Linked DNA regions of Rattus norvegicus. The protein of the gene in region 2 purifies or fractionates together with the protein of the main gene of each other region. This does not show direct contact. Links are inferred from orthologs where the notes say so. Each region holds a gene or a part of one and is shown on either strand. Other genes may lie near its edges.

Evidence for each region.
Region 1: the proteins of Mrgbp (region 2) and Epc1 purify together in Homo sapiens (affinity purification with mass spectrometry; 6 studies listed by BioGRID and IntAct, counting the BioPlex papers as one, with this or other methods). This does not show direct contact. The link is inferred for Rattus norvegicus from reciprocal best matches to the Homo sapiens genes MRGBP and EPC1.

Annotation. Positions count from the first base shown.
Region 1 is NC_086035.1:59,197,943-59,205,837, reverse strand, and holds the end of Epc1 (enhancer of polycomb homolog 1), read left to right. Parts: intron 1-699; exon of another isoform or gene 700-811; intron 812-1,375; coding exon 1,376-1,494; intron 1,495-1,574; coding exon of another isoform or gene 1,575-1,643; intron 1,644-2,972; coding exon 2,973-3,114; intron 3,115-3,215; coding exon 3,216-3,579; intron 3,580-5,988; coding exon 5,989-6,061; 3' UTR 6,062-7,325; downstream 7,326-7,895. UniProt on the Homo sapiens protein: Component of the NuA4 histone acetyltransferase (HAT) complex, a multiprotein complex involved in transcriptional activation of select genes principally by acetylation of nucleosomal histones H4 and H2A.
Region 2 is NC_086021.1:188,070,329-188,080,095, reverse strand, and holds Mrgbp (MRG/MORF4L-binding protein), read right to left. Parts: upstream 5,342-9,767; 5' UTR 5,316-5,341; coding exon 5,168-5,315; intron 4,751-5,167; coding exon 4,629-4,750; intron 3,785-4,628; coding exon 3,703-3,784; coding exon of another isoform or gene 3,394-3,702; coding exon 3,319-3,393; coding exon of another isoform or gene 3,098-3,318; exon of another isoform or gene 2,935-3,097; coding exon 2,747-2,934; 3' UTR 1,934-2,746; downstream 1-1,933.

The DNA.
Region 1 (7,895 bases), on a different chromosome or scaffold from region 2:
AGAAGTACTTTTTTGCCCATGTGGGCCATGAACTTAGTTCAGTTCAAGAACGTGTGAAGGTGCCGATAGCCTAACGGTCTTCTGGGCACATACAGTGTGTGTGGTAGAAGTGCTGCTGTCTAGTGAGTGGTACCAGGCAGAAGTGGGACCCTGGAGGTTAGTAAAGCCCCTCCCAAGTTACAAGTGAAATTCAGAAGACTTGATGGGGTGATGACATTTCAACTAGCAGAGCACTTCTAGGCAGTCAGGTGGGCATGTTTGAGAACGGCGGGCTGAAGCACAAGGAGTGTTGGTAATAGGTGCTCTGGTACCGGGTACGGCTAAACTCTGTTGTTGCTTTGAGTTGTGGGGTTTTTTTTGGGGGGGGGGGTGGTTTTTTTGTTTGGGGCTTGGGGGGGTTGGGTTTTTTTTTTGGTTTGTTTGTTTGAGTTGTGGTTTTTTGGTTTTGTTTGTTTGGGGGTTTTGGTTTTTTTGTTTGTTTGCTTGCTTGCTTTTTAAGTAACTTTTACTCAGACAGGAAAGGACTCTTTAAGAAGCCTTCACTGTCAGGTGGCTGTGATATTGCTTTCTTTTTTCTTCCCCTTCCCCACTTTCTTTTCAAATTGACAAAGGAAAAGAATAAAGAAACAGGTTTCCTTTTTAAAGTTGCACACACTTTTGGGGGTAATAAATGAACATTTTTTTGTTTGTCTTTTTTAGAACTGAGCTCTCCATAGACACACATAAGTAGCATAACACAGTGTCTGTCCTCAGGCTTCACTCTGTACAGTAATCAGCATTACTCCGTTCTTATTGACTGGATTTTGTCCAGGTGGGTTAACTGGGTGGGGAAAGTTCATTAACCTTAACCCTGGGACTTCTTTTCTTCCTGTTAAACTTGAAAGATGAGTTCTCCTGTTTAAGTATTAAACTATTGGATTTACTTTTTATGTAGAGGAAAGTTTTATAATGACTGGAATAAGAAGCTATGTAGACTTTAGTGTTTGTACACAGCTGTTGGGACGGCCTGAGCCTTGGCATGGCGATCTGGACAAAATAGAAGCGGAATGCTGGTTACCAGGTTTCACCTCATGTGCAGTGCAAAGGGCATCTCCAAGCTCGTGGACTGAGAGCCCAAGAGCACTTTCTGTGCTGTCCAGCACAGTGTCACACACAGCTGAGAAAAGCAGTGGTTTTTCTTGAAGTTGAAGCCACTTTGGTTAGATGTGGCAGAAGATGCTGGTTTCTGTCTGGAATGATCTCTAGCAGCATCATTTCTATCCAAATGCCTCCACTTTGCACAAAAACACCTTTTTCTTATGCTGGACTTTTGTAGTGTTGTAAGGTGTCTGTGGCATCTGCATCTTTGTGAACCGCCTCCTTGTTTTATGTTCAGCATTTACAGCCGAGCAGTACCAGCAGCACCAGCAGCAACTGGCACTCATGCAGCAGCAGCAGCTTGCACAAACTCAGCAGCAGCAAGCAAATAGCAGTTCCTCCACCGCCGCTCCACAGGTGAGGGGCTTGTGTGTCTTATGATTATCCCTCATTGTTTCCCACCAGAGTTCATCTCTCATTACCAAGGGTTGTCATAGAACCTTGCATCTAACCAGCAGACACGTGGCTCTGGCCTGAATGTACAGGGTTTAGAAAGAACACTCCAGGTGAGTATGGAAGCCGTTCCCTCTGCTGCTGTTATACAGAGTAACTTAAGAACGTAGCTCTCTAAGTTGTAAAGTAGCTTCATTCTGACGGGTCTGTAATGTACTGTCCTCATCGCAAAGCCCCATGCAGCTGATGTTCCAGTTCCAGAGTTAACCCAAAACCATCTGTTCTGCTCTTAAGTATGGAAAGATACTTGCTGTATAGATAGACTTGGGGCTGAACGGCTGAGAATTGAGTCCTTCCAAGCATTTAAAGGAAATTTCATTTTTGAAGATGCGAGAGGCCTTTTCATTTTTAAATTATGATGTCAGATCTTTTTTTAATTAAGGGATGGTTGTCTTACTATTGAAAGGTGCTTCTGGGTGGACAGTGGGTGGATATTAGCACTGAGGGTGGGTAGGAAGAATGGTGTTTGGAGATTAAATGAAAGAAGTTACGTATTTGCCTTAATGGATTTGTCCAGGACTGAACTACCTGAGAAAATTGAAACTTTCTGCTGCTGTTGTATTCTGCACTAATAGGCTTATTTTTGTAATTGCTTTGTATATATTCTGTATTATCATAGGAAGATCAAAATGTGTAAACCTTTAAGTTAGACAATTAACTATAGCTATGAAAATGAAGTAGATTTCATTGGTTTGCTGCTTTTAGAGCTGTGAAGCTGATTCTGGTGACCTGTGTAGTGACACTGACTGACTCTGGTGACCTGTGTAGTAACACTGACTGACTCTGGTGACCTGTGTAGTGATGCTGACCGACTCTGGTGACCTGTATAGTGACGCTGACCGACTCTGGTGACCTGTGTAGTGACGCTGACTGACTCTGGTGACCTGTGTAGTGACATTGACTGACTCTGGTGACCTGTGTAGTGACGCTGACTGACTCTGGTGACCTGTGTAGTGATGCTGACTGACTCTGGTGACCTGTGTAGTGACGCTGACTGACTCTGGTGACCTGTGTAGTGACATTGACTGACTCTGGTGACCTGTGTAGTGACGCTGACTGACTCTGGTGACCTGTGTGTAGTGACGCTGACTGACTCTGGTGACCTGTGTAGTGAGGCTGACTGACTAGTGACTCTGTGCAGTGATGCTGACCGACTCTGGTGACCTGTGTACTGATGCTGACTGACTCTGGTGACCTGTGTAGTGACGCTGACTGACTCTGGTGACCTGTGTGTAGTGACGCTGACTGACTCTGGTGACCTGTGTAGTGACGCTGACTGACTCTGGTGACCTGTGTAGTGAGGCCGACCGACTTTGATCACCTGTGGTACTGACTGATACTTCAAGACAATTACACTGATGACTTTTGTGTTTTCCTTTCAGGGTTTTGTTTCTAAGACGTTGGATTCTGCCAGTGCACAGTTCGCTGCTTCTGCTTTAATGACGTCAGAACAGCTGATGGGATTCAAGATGAAGGATGATGTGGTGCTTGGGATTGGGGTGAATGGCGTCCTTCCCGCCTCAGGTGAGGAGAAAGACCCAGTTATATTCACATGCATACATGTTTGTACACATTGTGATTTAGCCGCAGAGTGCAGTGTTTACATGCTTTCTTCCTCTCCCTAGGAGTATACAAGGGCTTGCACCTCAGCAGCACTACACCAACGGCGCTTGTACATACGAGTCCTTCGACCGCAGGTTCAACCTTGTTACAGCCTTCAAATATTACACAGACTTCGGGTTCCCACAGCGCACTGAGTCACCAAGTAACTGCTGCCAACTCTGCAACAACTCAGGTTCTGTTTGGGAACAACATCCGATTAACTGTCCCCTCATCTGTCCCCACTGTCAACTCTATCGCCCCAATAAACGCACGGCATATACCTAGGACTTTAAGTGCTGTTCCGCCATCTGCCTTAAAGCTGGCTGCTGCAGCAAACTGTCAAGTTTCCAAGGTCCCCTCCTCATCCTCTGTAGATTCAGTTCCAAGGTGAGTAGTTCTTTGAAGATTAAATGTCTGAAATGTAAACACCTAACTTGCCTCCTGAAGTGGCTATCCACCTAAGTCTTCTCTTCTTTTCCTTTTGTGTATTGAATATATATGGATATATATATATGAATACATGAATGAACCTTCGCTTACTCAAGAACTAAGCAAGCGGATGTAATAATTCAGTGTTGGTTGAATTCAGTCTTAAGACCAGGCCAGTCCACTCACTGGGACAGTCAGTGTTGCTTCTGGGGCCCGGACCTCCCCTAATTGAGCAGTAGCCTCGAGTGTCGTCACTCTTGTGTGGCTTTGGTGGAGGGAGGCCTCTTTAGGTGCTGTCATGCTGTTGATGGATCTCATCGGTGGCTTACTGTGGGGTAGACTTGGTAAAGCCTCCTTCGCCAGTCTGCTCGCTACTCATTGTGGAAATGCTGGCAGGCCTGCTGACATCTAATAAGCCGTGGCTTTCTCTGCTCACTGACCTTCTTGATTTCAGGAGTTTAAGGTTTTTGTCAAGGTTCCATTTTAACTATAACTATTAATTTAACTCTGTATTAACTAATTAAAATCCTATTGCTACAAAGTACTAGGAGAAAAGAAACAAAGACCTGCATTATTCAGATTAGCAAGAAATAAGCTTAAAACATGAATGTGGGTGTTAAAACAGTGCAGGTAATAGACAGAAGCCCTTCTAGGTTTGTCTCAGATCAGCGTGTGTTGCCCAGTTCATTGTATTGACAGTTGCTCTTGTTTTAAAACCGAATTGTGTGTTCTATGAAATATCAGACCCCACTTGATTGGGTGAAGAGAATGTGTATCATAAGTTTGAGTGGGCAAAGCAGAAATAAAAATTGGAGAAGATGGTGCTTAGCGGTTAACATTGCTGCCTAGAAGGCCAGTGCTATGCTTAGACCAACACTGAGACTTCAGCAGAGAGCGTTCGGGAGAGCAGCTGTGCAGGAGCTCACTTTGCACACCCACAGGCCCTGTCTACATTTATCTGTTCAGTACCAGGAACGCATTGTTGGTCTGATCATGGCTGATCAGTGGACTAGTTCTCCTCTTCCACATCACCAATCATGACTTTCATTGCTGTAGAACATGACAAATATGGGGACATTTACAGTAGATGGGACTTCTCATATCCCTGTCTTTACCCAGTGTTCCAGTCCTGTGTCTGTCTCACTTAGTGATGTTGATTGAGACCTAGATTTAAAGTCCCATCGTGAATTTTGGACATATTTGTGTCTGTGCTGGGTTGTTAAGAATTTTGGACATATTTGTGTCTGTGCTGGATGATTGTTAAGAATTTTGGACATATTTGTGTCTGTGCTGGATGATTGTTAAGAATTTTGGACATATTTGTGTCTGTGCTGGATGATTGTTAAGAATTTTGGACATATTTGTGTCTGTGCTGGATTGTTAAGAATTGTGGAGATATTTGTGTCTGTGCTGGATGATTGTTAAGAAAAGCTTTGGGTTGGGAGGAGGAGCTCCTCCGTGGGCAGAGGCGCTTGCCGTCAAGCCTGACAGCCCGCGTTGGTCCGTTGTATCGTGTGGTGGAAGAAGAGAAGCAGTCCTGCAGCTTGCCTCTGACTACACAACGTAATTGTGTAAAGGCCGAAAAAGAGTTCAGGGCCAAAGAGAACTACTCAGTGCTTGCCAGTACACGCAGGAGCAGCTGAGTTCATAATCCACATTTTTAAAGAAGCTTCACGTGTTGAGTGCATGACCCTACATTGTGGGGGTTACAGGAAAGGAAGGGATCAACTCCATGAACTTCAGCTTCTCTCAGAAATTAAGGTGAAGACGGATAGAAGTGACACTCGCCATCCACTTGTGGCCTCCATGTGCACGCACATGTGTGTACACACTCACACACATCCCAAAACGATGATAAAGGTTTGGGGCTAACATGATGGCTCCATGGGTAAAGGCCCTTGCCACCAAACCCATCAAGCTACGCTTGATCCCAGAACCTATGTGGTGGAAGAAAAGAACTGACTCCCAAAAGTTGAGCTGAGATACTCGAGTGAGCACACGTGTGTATGCACATATGTACTAAGTAAGTAGATAAGCGTAAGAAGGGAAGTCGGCTGTGGAAGGGAGCTGCTGTAACTGTCAGAGCTTGAGACGTTTCGGTGTTGAGTGTGTCTGTATCTTTGGGTCACTTGAGTTCTTGGACAGTGTTTTGGCAGTTGGCATGGAGTTGACTGTTGACCCCTGATATACTTGATTTCTACTTGCCTGTTTTTCATAATTACGAAAATTCCTAATCCTTCGTCCCCTTGCCCCATAAGTGACCTTTCTTCCTGCTGTTAAAGATAACTAAGGCTTTTAAAGGAAGGACGGCCTTCACTGGCTCAGCTCGTACATGACCATTGACTAACGGAACTTTTATCCCAACAGGGAAAATCATGAATCAGAAAAGCCAGCACTGAACAACATAGCAGACAACACAGTAGCAATGGAGGTGACGTAGCTTCCTGGGAGCAGGACTGCATCCTGGGGACATGGTCAGGTGCTATGCATCAGAGCGTTGGAACGCAGGGAGGATGGAGTGCGTAGGCGGTTCCGTGGCAGCTGTGGGGACTCGGCAGCACTGCGCACCTCTCGTGCTTCAACCTTTCTTTTCTTATTGTTAATAGGAAAAAATCAACATCTGTAAATTAAGAATACAGCAATTATCTGTACAGTACTGCATATTTGTAATACCCTTGTATATATGTTACTTGAATACAGAACTGTTCATTTGTGATGCTTTGCACTTGGGGGCGGGGGGTGGGGGGTAACTGCAACAAGAGTGTGAGCTGTGAGATTGTGTAGCTGGTGTCATCACATCATGTGCATGGTGCGGAACCTGCTGTCTCTATTTATTGTGCCGTGTTTACAGGTTTTGTACACTGTACCCTCATTGGTTCCTGTGCTGTAGTAAATGTGTTAGGTAGCTGTGGACTCCTTGGTATTTTGTAAATGGTATAACATAACTTGGTTCCCTCTGGGTCCTTGAGTTTTCTGTGTATCATGTGAAAAAAAAAATGGTGACATACATACAGAATTTTACAAAAAAAAAAAAGGCATCAGTTTTTTAAAACGGGGAATGTACTGTTCAATGGGGATCTTCCTGGTCTACTAGCATTAGGATGCGCAACAAGCTAAAAATGAAGTCTCTTGAATTCTCCCATCCCCGCCTGCCTGCAAGCTTGGGCAGCCCTGGTACTTAAAGCACTAATGTTATGTTGCTGCCCTACAAACAGCCCAGTCGTCCCATTTCCTTCCACACCAAAAAGTGTTAAATCAAGTACACAAACGGAGTCCTTACAACTGGAGTTTATGTTGTCTTGCCCTTTTTTTAGCACAAAAAGATGTACTTTTATATTGTGGAATTGTTTAAAGACTTCATTCTTTACTTGTTCTTACAGAAAGGATATAGGGGAGAAGAATGCTGTCCGTGTATCGTCATTCCAGTTTGTAAAACAGCCAGCCAGCTTTTTCCTTTTAAGATTCTCCAGAAGGCTGCGAGGCCAGAACCACAAATATCGGGTGCCTTCCTTTGGAAATATTTGACCTCTCTTCTGTGAAGAGAATGGTACTTACCAGACTACTACTGCTTTGTTAGTACCGAAGTCTGAATGCCCAGTCCAATGGCAGACATATGTTATCCTTAAGGTTTTTAATCCCACCTGGAAACATTGTGATAGAATTCTCACAAAATAAACCCAGGGCATTACATGTTGACAAACTAACGTGCAGTGGTCTCTGCCTTTTGTTTTCAACCCCAGAACTTTGTGTGACTTTGTTGTTTGAGTAAGGGGCTTGGTTAGAAATGGGAAGGGAGAACTTCATGTTTTCAGTGATTATTTTGATGTGTCTGTCTTCAGCAGTGAAAGAAATCCCTCGCTTGATTAATAATCTCATGGAGGTGAGAGTAAATGAGATGTAAAATGTAGTGTGACTAATGGGAAGGGAAAGTCAGGCTCGGTGAACGAGTGTAGAGAGCCAAGGATGTTCCCAGTCAGACTGGGTCAGAGACTTGAGCAGCAGAAGCAGTCAGGCAGAGAGGAGCATTGACGCAGGGACCAGGGAGTAGAATATAGGGACGACAGCAGAGTATGGCACAGAGGACTCTGACTTTCTGTACAGAACGGAACTTGGAGCAGAAGAGTCCCACTCTGCCTCAGTATCCAGACTAGTCTTCAGGGGCAACTCCCAGTAGTAGATGACCCCAGTGACCCCAGGGTAGTGTGAAGTATTTGGCTCTGTCTCTGTTTAGAAGCCATTAGAAGTTGCTTACAGGCCAGGCCTGGTGGCAGTAA
Region 2 (9,767 bases):
CACCAAGCCCAGCTTCTAGGTGGTGATCTAACACAGGCTCTCCCACTAGCAAGGATTTTTTTTTTTTTTTTTTTTTTTTTTTAGCAATTGAACCATTTCCATATTCCCTCTGCTTTTGTGATTTCTGTCCCACTCCTGTGCACTGCAAATTTCCTGGGCTCATGTGGCTAAGTAGCCTTTGAATTTAGGTGGACTTTACTGATGACTGTGGCCATGTGCCTGGGCTTGTTATGTAACATACTATTTGAAGCAAGATAGCAATGGAAAGGAGACATGGGTGGGTAGCAGGGTTGGGGTGGAGTGGGGTAAGGACCGGCATTCCACCATGGTTGAAGTTTCTCACCAGTTGAGAGTTCTGAATTCTGGGACAGTTGACAAAATGTGCTTGAAGGCTGCCTACATAGAGAAAATAATCTTTTTATATAGCCGTATTCCAAATAATGTTAATCAAGGTTATGTGTATGTGTGTATTTGATCTTCAAGTGTGGCCTTACTTCTTGACCAGATAGGAACCTGTAATATTCTGGGAATCTCATAGTAAAAATATATTGTCTCTAGCGACAGTCCAGTATGTAAGAGACTACGGTATGACCTGTTGAAGTTCCCTAGAGTTGGAAACCCTTGAGTTGGAAACTCAAAAACCACCAAAATCAGACTGATGGGCTACTGTAGAGACTTAGATGTCCCTCAATCCCTGGGACCCAGATAGTAGAAGGCAAGAAGTTCTCTGATTTCCACATGCACCCACACAAATACATATGTTCATTAAGTAAAAATGTAAACTTGGGCTGTCTTTGATCTTTGCCCCAGTGCTTCTGACACCGACTATGCTCAGGCTGGCACCTGGTTTAAATGCCATTAGATAGGGAAATTGTACATGGGATGTTAGTGGGTCCCTTGGGTGAATGCCCCCTCTCCCACAACTGTCCTAGAAAGCTGAAAGATGGACATGCCATGGGCTGACAGTAATATTTGCAAGAGGCAGTGTGCCATGCTGCTTGGACCCAGTTGTCAGTGACATTTCGTAGGGACAAAGGGCCATGCCTGTGAATCACAAGGTCAGAATAGCTCAGGAAGGCAGCAGGTTTGACTTCAGATCCAGACACTGGGCTGTTGGGGAACAAACAGAAAATAATCCTCAAGGCAAATGCCTTGACCAGGCCTACTGGCATGCTCTCATGGCCCTAGATTGTTCTTTCAGATGGGTTTAGAAGAGTGAGCCTGACCAGAGAGGACCTCTGTCCTGATCGTCACCATCTGCCCTCTGTTTCTCCTGCTAGTGGTGGATTCAACAGCTAGGCTTCTTCCACAGAACAGGCCTCTAGTAGTGGACACTGGGGAGGGACAGGATGGAGTGGCCCCAAGCCATTTCCCCAAACATGCTGTAACACCTCTTTCCCTGTCTCTTGCACTGAACACACAAGCACTGGTCCAGGTCTGAATGCAGTGTACAGGGCTGCCACTTCATCTAGCTAGCTCACCTGTGTCAACTCAGGATGCTCCCTACGCCAGGGAGCTGGGTCTAGTGGTACGTTTATGGTGACCCAACTGCCCTGACTAGAAGTGGCTGATGTAGGCCAGCTTGGAGTGCCACAGCAGGCCAGTTCTCATTGCCTGGGACCCTGCAGATGGCAGGGGGGCGGTTTCAGTCACAGGCAGTAGTCAAGATGGTCTGACATTTCACTGTGCTCATCCACCCAACAGCTGGACTTGGCTATGGAGGATAATAGGTAGCGGCCAGGTAGGCAGGAGTTGGGGGTGGGTGTCCTAAGAGTCTCTGATGAAGGCTCATAACCTTACTGCATCCAGCGATGCCAAGAAGTCATCTTAAGTGTACCCTATGGTTATGAGTTCTAGAGTGGGGGACCCTTTCCTCTGTAGGAAGAATTTAAAAACCAACTTGTTTTAGTAGCAAATCACACAACTCCCAAGATAGTTTTTTAATGCTTTAATATCCTGCAAATGAAAATGTGCTTCAGCCATCAGGCCACTGGCTTTTCAGCCTGATGGCTGTTCCTTTGTTCCACCCCCTTATTTGGTCTTTTCCAAGTTACTAAAATTACAAAAATAACCGCTAAAAATTCTCTGTATCTGGCATATAAAAACAGCCAGACGTATCTCAGTAGTTACCTTAAAACAAAACAGCTCAAAAAAACACATCACAGGTTTAACTTCTGCAGTATTTTTCTTCATACAAAACACTAGTAAAATAGGCTTCTTAAAAATTAAATAGTGAAATACCAACTAAATTATATACACTATTACAGTACAAGTGAATGAGGCAAAATATCCAGTTCTATTTCCCAGATGGGGGAGGCCTTCTGTGCACAGTGTGTGCTGTGTGAACTCCAAAGACACCTTCTCTGGATGCCAGTGCACAATGGAGTCTTACAGGAAAAGCAGATGCAAAGACTGGGCACCCAGGGAGGATGCCTGGCTCCTGAGGACAGTGAGGGTGACGTCTTATTGCTTGCTGACTCTTGGTCCTCTGGCCCACGCACCTGCTCTTCTCCACACACTGTGGGCATAAGGGAACTGACCAGGAGAAAGCAAGAGGCTGGCTCAGAGGCTTCACCATCCAGCAGAGTGGACACCGGTCTTGCTGGCCTTTTGGACCAATCAAGTGCTCTGGAGGTCTGATGACACAGCGGAAGCCCCACTAGCATCTCTGCTGGATGGCCACATTCACCCAGGGACCTGAGGACAGGCAGCTGGAGCATCTCTTGGCCACCTGGGGCTGAGGTGTCTATGTGCGGCGCCTCTTGGCAGCACTGGGGCTGGAGGGATTGCTGTTGGCAGTCAGGACCTTGTCAGTGACCCGGCTGCGCTTCCGCTTGTCTGCCCCTTCTTTGCACCCCAAGTCTGAGGAGTTCTTCTCTTTGTCTTTGCTGGATTTTTCTAATGCTTTCCCCAAGCTCCCTGAAGATGAAAAAACTGGGAAACAAAATCATTTGGCTGAAAACAGAATATCCAGAAACTCATCTCATTTTCCTCTTCAGCTAGAGAAACCAGGCGTTCGGACCCAGTATGTTCCCCGGGTAAGTGCCCTGTACAGCTGGGCTCGAAGAGAAACCGAGTCTCTCAGGGGGTCTCCTGTCTAAGCCCACCCAATGCCCCCAGCCTTGGCCTCGGCCCCTTCCTCATGGCTCTCAGAGGCCCCCAGCCTTGGCCTCGGCCCCTTCCTCATGGCTCTCAGAGGCCCTCCCACACTGAGTTCATCTGAAAGGGATGCTTCGCTCCTGACTCTCAGCTTCCTGACCTCACTCTGCCTGAGGCTGGCCCGTGGTGGTGACGGCTCCAGAAGGCACTTCCACTCACCGTCATCAGCCCCACTGTGGGGGTCCACATCCTCCTTCATCTCCTCCTTCATTTCTTCTTCAATGACCACTTTTCCTGTGGAGGAGACAGCTGCCGTTCACTGGAAACCCACGGTGGTGGCCAGCGCTGGGGGACGGTCTGGCCAGGACTGCTTCCGACTCTCGCTGCCCACACAGGCCTCGGCGTCCATCGTAAGACGGCATCCATCAGGAGACTGCCTTTGAGCACCGCTCGCCCCAGCCCTCGGCTCCCCAAACCTCCCAGGCGCCACTGGAGGCGTGGTCTGAGCAGGGTCCTTACACCTCCCTGGAGGCCCCAGACCTCCCCACCTTTGGCCTGGTGAGGCTTTTTTTATTCCCAGCCCTGGTGGTGGCTGAGTCTCACCTTCTCGGACTTCCTGAATGATCTCATCGGGAAGGACAAAGTTCCTCTCTGGATTTGGGAATGGCAGAATCTCAGACTCGTGCTGCCGGCACAAAGCGTTTTGTATTTTCAAGAAACAGAAAACAGGGTCTCCGCTCACTAAGCTGTACGGAGGAGCAGGCTGGAGGCTGCGAGCTGGTGGGGCTCCTTGCTCCAGCTTGCAGAGTCCACCTCAGCTGGGCTTCTCAGATGACTAGGGAGGGCCAGGCTAGCACCAGCCAAACCAAACCAGAGGAGAGGACCAGGTTCATGCCACCGAGAGAGCCCTGGAGTCATAGCAGCTCCCCTGATGTGCTCACAAGGACCTGACCTGTTCACCATTGTAACACTCCCACCAGGACAATGTATCCAGGGGCGCCATGACCAACCACAGGCCCCTACAGCCCCACCCATCCTGGTTACGTAGTCTCACTGCCTGCCAGACACTGCAGACAAACCTGACTAGCAAGGTTACTAGTTACCTACACACGAGTCAGACACTGCCAGCTCTCCAAACCAGTTACCTAGCTACCCTCTCTGCTCTCAGAAGAGGAACAGTCTAGCTCCCACAGTATACAGATTCTCAAAGGACCCCAATACCGACACTGCACCCTATTACTGCCTTTTACGGTGGCTGAGGCTTCTCTATCATCTCAGCGCCCAACTATCTCCTTGACACTTTGTGCCACCAATCTAAAGTAGGTGTCCTGAGAAAGTGGTTAGTGAATCCCTAGTTTGTGCTTTTCAAGGCAGGATTGAGGAAGGAGCCTCATCTTTTGAGATCTTTGCATACCAAACCCCAAGTGAGAAGAGGGCTCTGTCCTGTACCACAGAGGACTCTGGGAAGGCAGCATCCGGGACTTGACTCCACCTTCAGCCCCCAAATGAGTGGGCCAGGGTCCACTCACCAGTGCCTGCATGTCGTACATAGTGCTCAAATGGTCCCAGATCACCTTGGATGGAACCTGGCGCCCAATATTCTGGCTGAACTTGTCTCGGATACAAATCATGTGGAAGTGTCGATTCACCCCTGAGAGGCAGGACAGTGGGTTGAGGGTTAGGATAGCACCTCTGTGCAGAGGACATGGGTGTAGGAGGGGCAGGAGTGTGCAAACCACAGGTGCAAGTGTTGCAGGAGTCAAGTGTCAAAGGGGACGAAGGGTGCCACAAGGCAGGTGGTTAGGGTGTATAGTAGGCGGGTCCTGGGCAGAGGGGCTGCAGAGGCGGGGAGAATGGAGGCGTTCCCTGGGGTAGGACTGTCTCAAGGGCAGGGAAGTCAGGAGTGTCCCCTGGGAGAGGGCTTCTCGGGAAGGAAAGTCATGGTCTCTTGGACTAACAGGGCACCCCAGAGTGGGAGGTCCCGCCCGTGCGGGGTCGCAGGCTCCGCCAGCCCGCCCGACGGTTTATCCCGCCCCACCCCCACGCCGGTGCGCGGCGCGGCGCTCACCGACAGGCTTGTGGCCCAGCATGGCGTGGAAGAGGCACACTTCCACTTCAGGGCTCCACACCACCGTCTCCTCAGCAGGGCTCGGGGCTGCCTCGCCTGGGCCCTTATCGCCTGGGGCGCCCGTGCCGCCTACCTCGGCCTCCCCCATGGCCGCCGGCGAGCGACGAGCGCCCGGCGCGAGAAAGGCTACTACAGGCTCCGCGCAGGCGCACTTGGTGTGGAGGGCGCGCACTCGCAGGGCTCGGGAACGCCGCGTGCCCGGGTCCGCGCAGGCGCAACGAAGGCTGGCTTCCGGTGCAGCAGCGACTCCTGGTGGTTGGCCCTTTTACTGCCTACGACTCTGTCCCGAGAGGAGCAGGAACAAACCTCATGCTTTAAAAATGCACCAGCTGGGCCTTCAGAGAGGGAGAGGCGAGCGGATCTCTCTGAGTTCTGAGTCAGCCAATTCGGCATAGCATGACACACACGGCCCAAAAAAAATCTGGGCTTCACCTGAGTAGATAACTTGGAAAAGACTCAGGCTGCACAGCTAGAAGTGTGTCTCCCTTTGCCAGTGATAAATTGTGCAGTATGTAAATTACACATCACGAAAACTGTTTAAGAAAAAATAGCTAAAAAACAACAAACAAACAAACAAAAAACCCAGGGGCTAGTGAGATGGTCCGTCCATAGAGATTCTTGTGCACAGACTTGGTAACTGGAGCTCCACCCCTGGATCCTAGAGGGGGCAGGAGAGAAGCAATTCTTAAGAGTTCTACTCTAGGGCTGGAGAGATGGCTTGGCAGAATGATAACTGCTCTTTCAGAGGTCCTGAGTTCAATTCCCCGCAACCACATGGTGGCTCACGACCATCTAGACCATCTATAATGGAATCTGATGCCCTCTTCTGGTGTGTCTGAAGATAGCTACAGTGTATTCATATAAATAAGTTTTTTTTTAAGTTGTATCTAACCTTTATATGTATACCATGGTATACTCACACTTTTGCACGCATGCGCGCGCGCGCGCGCACGCACGCGCACACACACACACACACACACACACACACACACCATAATTAAAGACTTTAAAACCCAACAACCACATTTAGTAGCCCTGGCCTGGGTGCAAATGACAGTTTCAGAATTAAGTGCTTCATTGGCATCAAAAGACAGAAACCTGGGCCCTGTTGGCCTTACCACCCCCATCTTGTCCCTACAGTGGAGGCTGTCAGAATTTCAGGCAGGTGTTAGTATCTCTACATGGGATTGGGTAGGGTCAAGTGCTAGGCACAGCAGCCTTAAGAACATGGTCCCTACTGGTCTGAGTCACCCCAGTCAGCTGTACCATGACCCCTACCCTGCCACCCATCCAAGCTTTTTTACTCACCTGACCCTCAGCCACGGGCAGGCATCAGAATCCCTTTCCTGACTGATGTCTCTCAGCTGTGTGACTAAGATGTCAAGAACCTTTGTAAGACCACGTTCTTCTCTGTGCTATGGGGCCACTGTAGCTCTGAACTCTGGGGTATTGATAAGAGCCATCTGCTGGCTACCGCAAGCTTTGAATCCAGTCCTGGCCCTCCACTTGCCCCTCACTCAGGCCTGCAACCAGATAATGCTCACAACAGGGGACTGTGGAGGGTTTCCCTTGTGTAACCCTCAGCCTCATCCATTCTAGCCAGTTCTCTCTGTTCTGTGTGACCTCTGTACACGGCAGTTTGCAAACATCTGTCCGTCATTTCAGAGATCTCTTGGGAACGTGTGGCTGGCAATCAGACTTGATCCCTATGGACAGGTTAGATGGTATAGGAGAGAAGAATGGCTTCATTCTTTCCACGAAGCCACAGCCCGTTTCTCTGCCAGGTAATAGGAAGTGTCTGAGCACGGAGGTCAGGAGCTAAGACTCTGCTCACTATCTCATGCCAACTGTAGCATGACACTGTTCATTTTCACGAGCATGTAGGCTCTACAGTCCAAACCCACGAATTAAGAGGAAGCTGTGCTTGTTCATTTTGTAGCTCTCCTGCGACTGTCGCTCTCTAACAAGGAGCTGTAGAGAAACCACTGGCCCATGATCATGTGTGTGCTCCTGCAGCTTCAAACTGAATTCACACCTGCTGGGAGCTGAGAGATTCCTTCAAACCTGACAGAAGGGTTTCTTTGGCCTGGGGCAGGTGTCTGTGAGGCACACCACCAACTTGTTGTAGAAGTCGCTGGTGACGTTTACTCAGATCTGTCTTCTCTGTGAGGTCTTCAGGTTGGTTCCAGGCGGCCAGGATAGGATTGGCTTCGCAGCAAGGTTTCCTACTTCCCAGATACAAAGTGGACAGTGATATCCAGTAGCCAACTGGTCAACTCTTTCCTCATTTGCTGGGACTTCTGCTGCATGAGTCTTTTATACAAGATGGATACGAGTGCTAGGATTCTTGATCCCAGGGTGAAGAGTTCAGACTGGGCCCCAGTGAAAAGTAAAGGCTCTAGAAAGGCTGTCCCTCATTTAACGGATACACAAGCCTTATCGTTTACTTTGGCCAGTATGAACTATTCCCCAGACATTCTCAACCAACTGATATTTCTTTTTATTTACTCAGTTGCTTATTCAGGGTCTTATGTATCCCAGGTTGGCCTCAAACTCACTCTGTAGCCAAAGATTACCTTGAACTCCCATCCCCAGTCCTCCACCTCCTAAGTGCTTGGATAACAGGTATCTGCTAGTACATATGCTGGGGACTGAACCCAGGACTTCATACATGCTAGGGAAGAGCCCTACCAACTGAGGTGCGTCTCCGGCCTCCTAAACAGTATTGCTTGTCTGAGGACCTGATGTCTCGGGAAGGAGATGGTCACTACTAACTAGAAGGAGCCCATTCCCACTCCGGAAGGAACATTTAGCTCTTGGTCACAAGAACTGGATCCAATGGGAGGCGTATTTGTAAAGGCTCTGGTTAGGTGCCATCCTGAGACCTTTGGTCACATTGTCTCTTTGCAGACTGCATCTCTGAAGTGGTGAAATTTCCCACAGTGTGACTGGCCCCACGTTGCTCCCTTAGCACGTGTGGGAGACCGAGGGCTCTGGACAACAAGTTCTGCTTTGGAGTCAGTCAGCCTGCTGTGGATCCTGTTCAACTGTGTTCACCCGATGGGAACAGGCCATCCTCCGGACAACATCCGAACACCGAGAACAGCTCTGCTGTCTTCTCCTGTGGGCTGTGGAGCATTAGAAACTGGGAGCCTAGAACTAAGCAGCTGTCAGGCAGGACCCTTGGGTTTCCAATTCAGGTACAGTATTTCCCTACAAGGATTGCGGCTAGGTTGGACACCCATGCCCTGACTAACATAGCTTAGCTCCACCCCCTCTGCCTTCCTGTTTATGGTAAGTTGGTGTGATTAAGGACCTAGGTGATTATCTCCATTTTCCTTAAGGCTGCTTGTTGTCTTCTAAAGTTATGGGCTTCGCTGGACCTACAAAGGCCTCCGGGTGAGGACCTGCTGCAGCCAGGCTGCTAAGTCTTGCCTGTAGGGGGCAGTGCTCACCAACTCTTCGGATGCAAACCTGCACTCAGCTGTGAAATCCACACCAGCAAGACCCGAGGGAAGACGCACTCCTGAGCCACTTCGGGGTTTTCACAGGAGCCAGCTCTTCAGAAGGGGCCTAGGAAGGATTGCTGTGATACCCAGAAGGCACGTGTTTCTGGGCTCTGGCTCGGTGTGTTTATTTTAGAGGATCAGATTCCAGGATCACCCTGAGACATACTACCCCAGGGCAGTATTGTTCTTAAAGGTCATGTGGGGTGGAGCTGGGGCTCAGCTGAAGCTCACCATCTTCGCTTTTTTAGTTTTGGGAAAGACGAGATTCACGAGCCACACCTGACTGGCAGGACCTTTGTCCAGCTGGTGAGCAGTGACTCGGAGATCTGAGAAACTCCGCCCAGCTGAGGGATGAGGGAGAGTCTCTTTGCTCACAAGCCAGTGGTGGCATCTGTCAATGAGTATTGTGTCACCAAACTTTTCAAGAAACCTTAAAAGTGATGCCCCTACTTGCCTCTGGAGGATGGGGGAACCGAGGCACGGGAATGTTGGGTATCTGCTATTCTGGGTGAGGGAGGCAGGTTTCACAATGGGACCCAGAACATCAGCTGTTCCTTGCTCTGGAAGTGGTGAGCCCGGAATTGTCCTCTACACTTTCTGACTGGATGACTCCCCTTTTCTCTGTCCCCAGGAAGTTCTGCTTTCCTGTGGATAGAGAGGTTTAGAATGGCCAAGGCAATGGGAGTGGGATTGAGGTTAGCAGTCTTCCCTGGAAGGAGCCTGCATAGGAAGATGTTCTGGCTGGGATGGAGCTGGTAGCTTGGCATTTGACTCTCAGACAGTGTGTGGGCAGCTGCTCCTGGACTCAGGCCCTTCCTCTTGGCTTCTCAGGGTCTCTGTCTCTTGGCCTCTCGTCGTCTGTTTCTTGATCTTAGAGTGTTTATTCATGTTGGCTTTGAACGTGACTCATGACTCAGCCAAATGTCAGCAACATCTCTGCCTGCAGGGCTGCTTCCTCCTCCTCCTCTTCTGTGAGATTAAGGTTTTCTGTTGTGTGATGGAGAGAGCCATTATTCTCAGCTCAGATCCCT